Linked DNA regions of Macaca mulatta. The protein of the gene in region 2 purifies or fractionates together with the protein of the main gene of each other region. This does not show direct contact. Links are inferred from orthologs where the notes say so. Each region holds a gene or a part of one and is shown on either strand. Other genes may lie near its edges.

Region 1 (5,520 bases), on a different chromosome or scaffold from region 2:
AAGTACTTTCTTTTTTGAAATTTAGAAAATAATTATTGGCTAATTTCTGTTAGTAAAGAGAATTAAAGTGGACTAAGGGCTTTTTCTTTCCATTTCATAGAAGTGAGCTTGTAGTAGACAAAACAAAGAGGAAAAAAAGAAGAGAACTGTCTGAGGAACAGAAACAAGAAATTAAAGATGCTTTTGAACTATTTGATACAGACAAAGATGAAGCAATAGATTATCATGAATTAAAGGTAATGGTATACTTTAAAATACTTGTTTCTGTGTTAAAATGATTTGCATTTTGACAGTTGCTTTACATTACATTTCTAAGTAATTATTTTAACTAAATTGGTTTTGGAACTATGAAGGCATTTTAAGCATTCATAGTTAGATTCTATAATAATACTGAATAGAACTCCTAACACAGTTTTTAGAAAATCTTTTTCACGTGATAAAACGAATAGCATTTTAAATGTAACAATACATTCCTAGGGAAGGTGCTTATTTTTCACTGACATAATTAAAGGATTTCAAACTGGAATTTAAACTATTACCATATTCTTTTCACTGTTTTTTTTGTTTTTGTTTTTGTTTCTTGGTGACTCATACTGTTTTCAGATTGTGGGATTGTTGTCTTTTAATCTTATAATTTGTATTTGTTAGTAACATAGTCTCAATCCACTTTCTGTGGTACAAACAACTTCAGTGCTGTTTGATGTTGACACATGCTTGTAGGTAAAAATGTCAACTTTAAGACCTAGAATGTCAAGGTGTAGAGAGGGATTTGTAAATTATTATTTGTCAGGGTATAAGGAGAGATTTGGGTTTAGGGTAGAATGGGACTTACTTTCAGCACAGTGGGAAAGATAGTATTTTGAGATTTTTAATAGCCTTAATGGATAGGTGAATGTAAGTGTTTATTTGATAGTTTTAATTTTTGTAATTTCTTAAGGGATTTTTAAGCATTAGAATTCCAAGTAGGGATACGAACTATGCAGTAACAGTATAGAATGTATAAAAACAATTAATAGGCCTGTAAGTCTAGCTTTCTCAATCTTGCAGTCCTCTTTAGCTCTCTTTTCCCACTGTTTTTTGTTTTTGTTTTTTGGTTTTGGTTACCCAGATTTGATCAATTCTTCCTTTATAGTGTCTCTTCCATTAGTAACCATTGACTGGTTTCAGACCTTATTTCATACCTGGAGCTTCCTAAATGGTTTGTCTACTTGTAGTTCACCTTGTATACTACTACCACTGAATTTAGATAGTTTAAAAAATCTTTCACCATTGCTTATAAATTGTTCGTTGCTCATAAGCCTTTACTATTAATAACTCCTCATTATATACTACTTAAAGTTCAGATTCCTTTGCTTTCTACTGAATGTTCTCTACACTTTTGCCACCAACTACTTTTTTCATTTGCTAACTGCTTTCTTCCTCCCAAACTCTTCTAATTCACGTGGAATTCACCTTCTAATCCAGGTGAGCAGTTTATCTCACCTGAACTCTTCTAATTCAGGTGAGGTAAACTGCTCTGTTCGTTGTCCTTCAAACCTATTGTTCATTTCAGTGTTTCTTTTAATACTAGTCATCCTTCCCAAATGCCCTACTGCTCCTCTTCATCTGTCCTTCAAGGAACAACTTGAATCTTTCCAAATAAGACTTATCTAGTCAGTAACATGTTTCCTTCCTTGTTACTAGTAACAAAGTCTCTTTTTTGTCTAAACTCAGGGTCCTTCGCCCTATTATTAACCTAATAACTAATCATGGAGATACTGATGATAATTCTTATTTTAATGTTTTATCTCTTCTATCATATAACTTTAATATTTATGCTATGCCTTTTTCTCATTTTGGTTGTTAATCCCGTGATAACAAATAGCAGTCAAATTATCTGTGCAGTAAGTTAGTGCATTTTATATAGTAAACACTTGTTGGTTACTTTGTCATATAAAAATGCAATTTATAAATGAAAAAACTTATACATAATTTCAGTAGTGAAGAACAATTACACTGTCACTGCTATTTTAAAGAGGTAAAACATGCAAAAAAGTTATATTTTACTAATGTGTTTTTATCTCTTAAGATGTAAAAACTTAATAATTAGAAATTCTTTTGTAAAGATTGCTTTATAATTTGCTTTTCCCTTTTAATCCAAAAGGTGGCAATGAGAGCCTTGGGGTTTGATGTAAAAAAAGCTGATGTACTGAAGATTCTTAAAGATTATGACAGAGAAGCCACAGGGAAAATCACCTTTGAAGATTTTAATGAAGTTGGTGTGTATTTTAATAGTCTTTGTAATCAGCAGCTGTTAGGAAATTGTCTGATTAATATGACTTTTTAAATTTTAAATTCTCTAGGTTATGGAATTTTCTTATAGAACACTGGTGTATAATGTGACTCTTACTCAGTTTTGTTTGGGTTATTTTACTTTTTTCATTTTCAAAGAAAAAATATGGCTTTGCTCTGAGATTTATAGTTTTGTCTTTTGTTTTGTTGTGAAGATTCTAGCCAAGGAACTACTGTGTAGCTTTTTATGGAAAGATGCTTTTCCAAGTTATTTGTATTTATATTATGTGATAAAACTTGAAGGGTGATCAAAAAATTATTTTTGCTCAGTAAAACAGAAAATTTGATATCCTGCTGTTTGGAAAATGTTTCCCAAGACCTTTCTGGTATGTGATTTTTGCTGGCTAAGTGGGAGAAGAGGGAACTGGTAGTAGTTGGTATCTTTGGCCGTAGATGAAATGCGTGACTTCAGGTTGACAAAGTTTATGAGAGGCTACATCCTCTGGATGACCTTGATCTTAGTGGATAAAGTCATCTGTTTAGAGGGTAGTAGTAAAGGAGGCAGTGGGCATACTGCAAGCAGGAGAAAACATCCTGGTACCACCAACTGAAGATAATATGTCATAGGCTTAATATGGCTAAATTTTTGTGTAGTTGATTTTAGTGAATTATTTATAGCATACATAGAGCAGGCTTTTTCAAAATAGAAGAGTCTGGAAGGCAAGGGCGTTACTATTGTCTAGGATATTACCTACAAAATATATAAATATTCAGGTTTATTTCTATTTTTTTCCCCCTAAACCAATGGGTCACGATATAAGCACATCATATAAGTATTTTAAGATATTTGGAAACAAATTCTGTTATATACACAAACCCCTTCTTTTAAATATTCATCAAGAAGCAATATGGGAAGCAAAAAGAAATGGCAATTAGTATACGCAGAGAAAATTTAGATTCATGTCATTAGTTTTTTGAATCCAAACGCTCAAGTCAAAAGCAGTTGAGATGGAAAATAAATGATAAACCTAAGAGAAAAAATACAGCACAGAAGATACTCAACTTACGAACTAATATATGACTGTTTAGAGAGGCAACTTGTCTGTTGGGGACATTTTCCTTTTTTCCTCTAATTTGTAGAATTTTTTATTTGAGGAGAAGGAGAGAGCCACCTTTTGTTCTCCCAGAATGGACACTCTCCTGAAGTTTATAATCGTAGTATTCCTAGTTTTACCTTAGATTGTTTATTTGTAGAAACAAGATGTTAGGATACAGTGGAAATGATACTATTAGGAAGGAGCTATAATCCAGGTATGTTTAGTACAGTATAGTGGTTTAGCACTTGGAACCAGATTCTGTTGGTTCATACCTTGGTTTTGCCACTTTATAGCTCTGGAACTTGGTCTTTTTAATACCCTGTGCCTCATTTTCAACTATAAGGTGGGGATCATTGTACTCTCTCATGAGATTCTTCTGAGGATTAAGTTAATAACATGTAAAGTACCTAGAAAAGGGCCTAGCATGTTGTAAGTGCTACTAAGCATTTGTTATTATTATTACTTTAAAAAATTGTCTCTGTTTCAGGGGCTCAAAATAATCATATATGCATCACTGGGACATAAAATAGACTCTGTGTATACTTTTTATTGACTTTTTTTCATAAAGGCTATTGTAAACACTATATCATCACTAATAATTTTACAAAATATTTTATTTCATCTTAAATGAATACAATTTTGAAATTGTGATTTTTTATTGGCAGTTGGGACCAGAATCCCATGCCACCTCCACTTTTTCCTGATGCCCTATCTGTTCTATGTTATTAACAGAGCAGAAATACTGGGTTCCTTTAGAATAAATAGATGTGGCTAAACTTCAGCTTTGACACTCAAAGATTAACCTTTTGACAGGGTCAACACCTATCTTAGCTATCTTAAGGCTACCTATGGAGAGTACCAGGTGTAAAATAAAAATTTATTACTGTTTGGGAATCAGTCAAGAACTATGTATTTCCCCTTTTGTTGATTATTTTTAACTAATCACTGACCACAGATTAATATGTTTTGTACTTTGGGACAAATGATTCTAAATCTTAACATTTGAGTCCTAGTTTTATGAACTACTCAAGGATACTGTTCCACAGATATATCTGGATGAAGTTTGGCAGTTAACTATTATAGATTCTTCCTAGTACTGGAAAAAAGCTTTAAAATATATTTAATGTAAGTTTAGAGTCAAGACAACCTGAGGCTAGTGAGTAACATAGATGTTTTAGGAATTCTGTCTTTAACACCAACATAAGTCAAACGTTTGTACACTATTTTTGACATATACTACTTATTGCTGATTCAGATTATAATAGTGTATTATTGTCTTCATTTTGCTTATTTAACACTGAATTTTTTGGTATTAGGTACTGTACTGGGGTTGGGAAGAAGACGTAATTAAAAGTTACTAAGAGGTTCTTCTTTCAGGGAGTTTACAGTGTACATATAGGTGACAACAGGCTATAGTACTATGTGGTAAATTGTAATTTTGTCTAGGACAGAAGTCAGCAATTATAGCCTTTGGACCAAATTCAGCTGCTGCTTGTACACCACCACACCCATTCTTTTATGCAGCTTTTGTGCTGCTATGGCAGAGTGAGTAGAGACTTTATGCCCCTCTACAAAGCCTAAAGTATTTACTGTCTGGCCTTTTACAGGAAAGATTTGTTAATCCCTGATATAGAGGAATTGAAGACTTTGCAGAGGAGATTTTAAATTTAGGCCTTTGGAAACGTGAGGAGGATTTCATTCCAAGATTGCCAGGAAGAGTAGAGAAAAAGCATTCTAGGCTTAGAAAGCAGCAACAACAAAGAATGGTACTAGAAGCATAGCATGTTTGGGAAACTAGATAGTGTTCTGGGCTAGACGATAGGGAAATAGCTGGAAGTGTAGGATTGGGCCAGACTGGTAAAGTCTTGCGAAACTTAAAAGATTTTGAATTTTAGTTAGCAGAGGATCATTCACAATTTTTAAGGGAAGAGGATATGATATATTTGAGAAAGAAAACTGATGAGAGTATTATTGATGATGCATTGGAAGGAAGAGAGACTGCAGACAGAAAATACTATTTTTTATGCTGAGGATGGCGAGCGTGAAAAGAAAATACATTTAAGAATAAAAAAGAGGCTAGGCTTGGTGGCTCATGCCTGTAATCCCAGCACTTTGGGAGGTCAGGGCGGGAGGATTGCTTGCTCACAGGAGT
Region 2 (5,520 bases):
CTCCCTTCTTTACATACAAGGAAGGAAGATAGCTAGGAGCATGCTAAAGACCAATGCAAGCCTCCTTCCTGTTCCCCATTACATTTCCTGGATCTTTAGCCATGTAACCTAAGCAAAGATTCTGAGATAAGGCCTTATGAGAATATGCAGAAAGAGTATTCTTATAGTTTGAAAAAAAAAAAAAGACGGGCGCGGTGGCTCACGCCTGTAATCACAGCACTTCAGGAGGCCAAGGGGGGTGGATCACCTGAGGTCAGGAGTTAGAGACCAGCCTGGCCAACATGGTGAAACCCCGTCTCTACTAAAAATACAAAATTAGCCGGGCGTGGTGGTGCATGCCTGTAATCCCGGCCACTTGGGAGGCTGAGGCAGGAGAATTGCTTGAACCCAGGAGGCGGAGGTTGCAGTGAGCCGAGATCGCGCCATTGCACTCCAGCCTGGGTGATAGATGGAGACTTTGTCTCAAAAAAAAAAAAAACCAAAAAAAAATGTGTTGGGGGGCGGATTGGTGGGCAACTTAAGAGATTCAGGTAAAACCTCTACACTGTGCTTGTGTCTTGGTTTTTAGGGTTTTGAAAGAATGATGAATGGTATGGAAAGGGAAAATTTAATTAGGTTTTTGTTTTTGAGCATGTAAAAGGGGAGTATTTATTAGCACTTCTTCTGTCTCCCCTCCCCTTAGGAAGGTGCACCTGGGAAGGTTATAGTGGGAATGGAGGTCTAATCACAGCATTTTGAGGCTGTGCAGACAGAGGGGTTCAGTGTAGGGCTTCTGCAAGTAACAAAGGCAAAAAGAGAGGTGTGCTGGGCTCTATGGAAGGTCTAAAGTCAAGAGGAGGAATTACAGAGTGAGGGAAGTAGGCAGGGACCTGCAGATTCTCTATATCAGACTGATCCCTTGAGAGACTGCATAATAACTTGCAGTCTGTGCTACTGTACTGTTGAATGTTAGAGCATATTTTGGGAGAGGAGAAAGGTGGGTTGGTATAGTCTCTATGCAGTATGGTTTTTAAATTCCAGCTAGCATCCCATAGTTAGAAATGTACATCAGAAGTAATATACTCTAATTCTTTTAAAGTTATGTTTATTATTTTAATATTACTATTTTTTGAAAATTATACACTTAGTTTTGATAAAGTGTGTCTTTTATGAAGCAAGTAAAACTGTACGCAGGAAGCATGGAAGTTACATAATCTGTAAATCAATCTTTTCATTCTAGGTCACATGTATATCATGCAATTACAAATCTAATACCATTGAGCCCTTTTGGGACCTATCCCTGGAATTCCCTGAACGCTATCACTGCATAGAAAAGGGGTTTGTCCCTTTGAATCAGACAGAGTGCTTGCTCACTGAGATGCTGGCCAAGTTCACAGAGACAGAGGCCCTGGAAGGAAGAATCTACGCTTGTGACCAGTGTAACAGTGAGTGCTGTGTGGAGGAGGGGGCGTAGTGGGGAAGTATAACTGGAATATCAGTTTAACGTGCTGCTTTGTCCTCTTTAGTCAAAAGTAACACTAATGATATTGAATGGTTCTAAAGCATCTTTTAAAGATCTCTTCCTCCCATTTTTCTAAAAATCAAAAAACATGGACTTGTTTTAATTATGTATTAAAAAACAAAACAAGGCTGGGCGTGGTGGCTCGTGTCTGTAATCCCAGAACTTTGGGAGGCTGAGGCAGGCGGATCACTTGAGGTCAGGAGTTTGAGACCAGCCTGACCAACATGGTGAAACCCCGTCTCTACTAAAAATACAAAAATTAGCTGGGCGTGGTGGCAGGTGCCTGTAATCCCAGCTACTCGGGAAGCTGAGGCAGGAGAATTGGTTGAACCCGGGAAGTGGAGGCTGCAGTGAGCCGAGATCAGGCCATTGCACTCTAGCCTGGGCAACAGAGTGAGACTCTGTTTCAAAAAACAACAACAACAATAACAAAAAATGAAACAAAGACCTAGGAGTTGATTGACCTCCTGATTGACATTAGTTGTCATCTTGGAAGGGATTTTAAAGTGTGGCTCCTGAAATGGGGACTCTGGAATGTTAGTACTTAGCTTATTAGTGCTATGGGGCTGCTGCGTAAATTAATGAATGTAGAGTCCAACAGTTCTTACTTAATCTAAACCCAGATGGAATAGCCTTTCTGAGGGATGCGATATCAGAAAAGCATGCTTTTGTAATGAACTGGCAGACTTAATGTCTGTCAAAAGTGATGCTAAAGATTGGTACAGTGGAACCAAGAAAGTAAGTCTTAAGGTACATTGCTCAGTGGCAGCTTCATGAAATATTTTCTGCATTTTTTTTATTCTTCACATGCCTGAAAAGTTCACATTTCAGAGAGGGTCATAAGGAAGTATTTCTGTGTTGTCTGTAATTTTAAAATGGAACTCTTTACATATGGTTACAGAGGCGTGTTATACAGGGCCCTTCCATCTTGCCACACTAACACTTAATGCTTCTGCTAACCCAGTATGGACAGACGAAATGCAGAGCAAATATGTGGATGCTTATGTTTGAGGGTTGTGGCATATATAGATTTGGAAACTAAAAGTATAAAGTTAATGGATTGTACAGAGACCTAGAAATCCATTTTCAGTCACATAATAGTTTAGATTACCAGTTTTGAAGAAAAAAAAATGTTAGGCCAGGCGCAGTGGCTTATGCCTGTAATCCCAGCACTTTGGGAGGCCCTAAGGTGGGCGCCATTGCACTCCAGCCTGGGCGACAGAGCCAGATGCTGTCTCAAAAAAAAAAAAAAAAAAAAGCTAAATTGTGGGAAACCTGTTCCACTCTTTGAAGAATCAGAACAAAAATCAAAAGTCAGGCTTGAGGCCAGGTGCAGTGGCTCATACCTGTAATCCCAACACTTTGGGAGGCCAAGGCAGGAGGATTGCCTGAAGCCAGGAGTTTGAGACCAGCCTGAGTAGCACAGCAAGACCTCTTTTAGGAAAAAAAGAAAAAAAAAAAAACAACCCACAAAGTTATGCTCGATATCATTTTGCCATTTCAAAAGAAAATTTGAAATTTTATACCTGGCTAACTGTAGACTCACCTATCCTGTTCCATTTTGAGATACAGAGTCAGGTGAATCAAATTGTTTCATTAGAGTAATATTAAAAAAAAACAAAAAACAAAAAAACCCAATGATTCCTGAAGCCTTTTACTTGTAATGAACAAAAGAATATTAACAGCTTTAACTCCATCATTTTTGGATATGATAGATTAGGCAAGAAATAACTTTGGTTTATCTTTACAAGAAAGGATTGTTCTTTGGTTGTCAGATGTGCCAATTTATCAGGATTTCTCTAGGCAAGTGCAAATAATGCCAGAGAAGGAAACCTATGGTGAGGAGATGAGATGCATTGATCTGTTGCCTGTGAAGTTTCAAAACTGTCAGTCTTCTACCTGTCTTCCTGGACAGCTTAATGAAATGGAGACAGAACTGATCAATCTCAATTGAATCAGTAATTTATTTTTCTTTGTGAATTTCATTTTAGGGAAACAAAGCCTGACTCTATATTGTCTTCATCTTAGCTCACATACTCCCTCTGCTGAGGGTGGTAGTCACTGCCAGGGTTCCTAGCCAGAGCTGCAGTAATTTTCAAAAAAATGGTGAATAGGAATATAAAATAAGGCCAAGCCCCTCTTTGAATTCCATTTCTGTTCATGCCAGCACATATTGTGACTACACACCCTGGTAAAAGCTTCTCCTATGGCACAACTCATTCTGATGCAGTCTATTATGAGAAGCTACACCTCCACATCCTATTGTCACAGAAAGCTCTGTGATACATCATCTGGCTGTGATTTGCTACCTTTCATGAGTAGTACAGACAGGACTGGGAATCAGATGCCCAGCTCTTCAGACACTGAGCCCATGATATCAACAGCTCAAGACAATTAGCAGAGACTGCCATAGAACACTAATTTTCTACTCTCATCCATTTACCAGTTTAATATAACAAAACAGCCATCAGTAAATGGTTACAGGAAAGGCTTCTGATAGAAACTAAGATAACTCTGTTTCCATTGTTTATTTGCTGAAATTTAGAAATGCATTTCCTAAAGGCTGGGCACAGTGGGCTCACACCCACAATCCCAACACTTTGGGAGGCCAAGGTGGGAGGACTGCTTGAGGCCAGCAGTTCAAGAAATGCATTTCCCCCACATTTAGAAACAAAATTAGAGACTGATCACTAGTTCTGCTTTGGAGTAGATGAATTTAGCCACCTGTCAGCTTTGTCCTTGTATGTCCAGCAATGTGCTTTTATCTAGGAAATATGTTTCAAAAACTAGGCACAGCATAAAAATATAGAACTAACAGTTTATTTTCTAAATGTTTGAATATGCCATAAGCAAATCATGCTAAAGAAAAATGTGTTTAAATACTCTATCATTTAGTAATCTTATCCTTTTTTTCCTAAGCCTGAAATATATGCATTATTCCCTATTTTACTGGTGAGGAAACGGAGGTTCAGAGTTTTGAGTAACTTATCCATTAGCACACAACTAGTTGTGAGCAGGAAGTAGAATTAGGCTTACCTAGTGCAAACAAAAAGCTTCTTAAAATCATATTGTGGGGTATCATAATTGAAGTTATAAGCCATTGTAAAGACATGGAGCCTTAACATATGCTTCTACTCTGTGTGCTTGCTGTTGCACGTTCCATTATATTCCATTATACGCAAAGTTCCTGATGGCAAAAATTGGAAAGATTTGAGTTGCTTGTAACAGTCGACCCAAATAACAGTGACTTAAAATGAGAGGTATTATTTTTCTGTTACATAAAACAAGTCTGAAGGACATTCAGGGCCAGCATGGTGGCTGCATGGTCATCATTGACCCAAGCTATTTCTGTCTTTCTGTTTTACTATCCTGTTGCAAGACTTCTGTCTTCAAAGTTACCTTTTGGTCCAGGAGGAATTCCAGTAGTTTCAGATAGTGGGAAGGCCAAAGGGATGCACCTTACAAGTGAGTCAGCCTTGTATAAGCAGAGTCCCATACAGTCATTCCTTTCATCTTAGCCAGAACTTCCATGGCCACACCATGCAGGCTTGTGAAGCCGGGAAATGCAGTCATAAAGGGGGTCACATTGCACTCCCCAAAAAATTGAGGTTCAGGTACTTAGAAATATGGAGAATGCATATTGAATGGCAAGTCACTGTCTCTGCCATAGCTAGAAAAAACTCTTCACAACCTATGTCTTATACCTTCCCAAACCACATAGGCAAACGACGAAAATCCAATCCCAAACCCCTTGTTCTGAGTGAAGCTAGAAAGCAGTTAATGATCTACAGACTACCTCAGGTTCTCCGGCTGCACCTTAAAAGATTCAGGTGAGCTTGCTGTGGGAGTCCTAGCTGGGTGAGAGCTGTGGGAATAGCTGCTCCAAAGGCTTTGGTGAGGGCAAATGTCTTCTATGGTGTTGGGAGGGGAAGCCTGTTCACTTGAGACCTTGTGTTTTCCATGGAGATTAAATCATTCACATCCACTAAGGCAAATTAATGTGGGAGCCCAGCAGGACT

Evidence for each region.
Region 1: the proteins of USP49 (region 2) and CETN3 purify together in Homo sapiens (affinity purification with mass spectrometry; 4 studies listed by BioGRID and IntAct, with this or other methods). This does not show direct contact. The link is inferred for Macaca mulatta from reciprocal best matches to the Homo sapiens genes USP49 and CETN3.

What each region holds. Positions count from the first base shown.
Region 1 is NC_133411.1:96,787,654-96,793,173, reverse strand, and holds part of CETN3 (centrin-3), read left to right. Parts: intron 1-100; coding exon 101-236; intron 237-2,143; coding exon 2,144-2,258; intron 2,259-5,520. UniProt on the Homo sapiens protein: Plays a fundamental role in microtubule-organizing center structure and function. As a component of the TREX-2 complex, involved in the export of mRNAs to the cytoplasm through the nuclear pores.
Region 2 is NC_133409.1:140,370,610-140,376,129, forward strand, and holds part of USP49 (ubiquitin carboxyl-terminal hydrolase 49), read left to right. Parts: intron 1-1,219; coding exon 1,220-1,424; intron 1,425-5,222; coding exon 5,223-5,331; intron 5,332-5,520. UniProt on the Homo sapiens protein: Deubiquitinase that plays a role in several cellular processes including transcriptional regulation, cell cycle progression or innate immunity.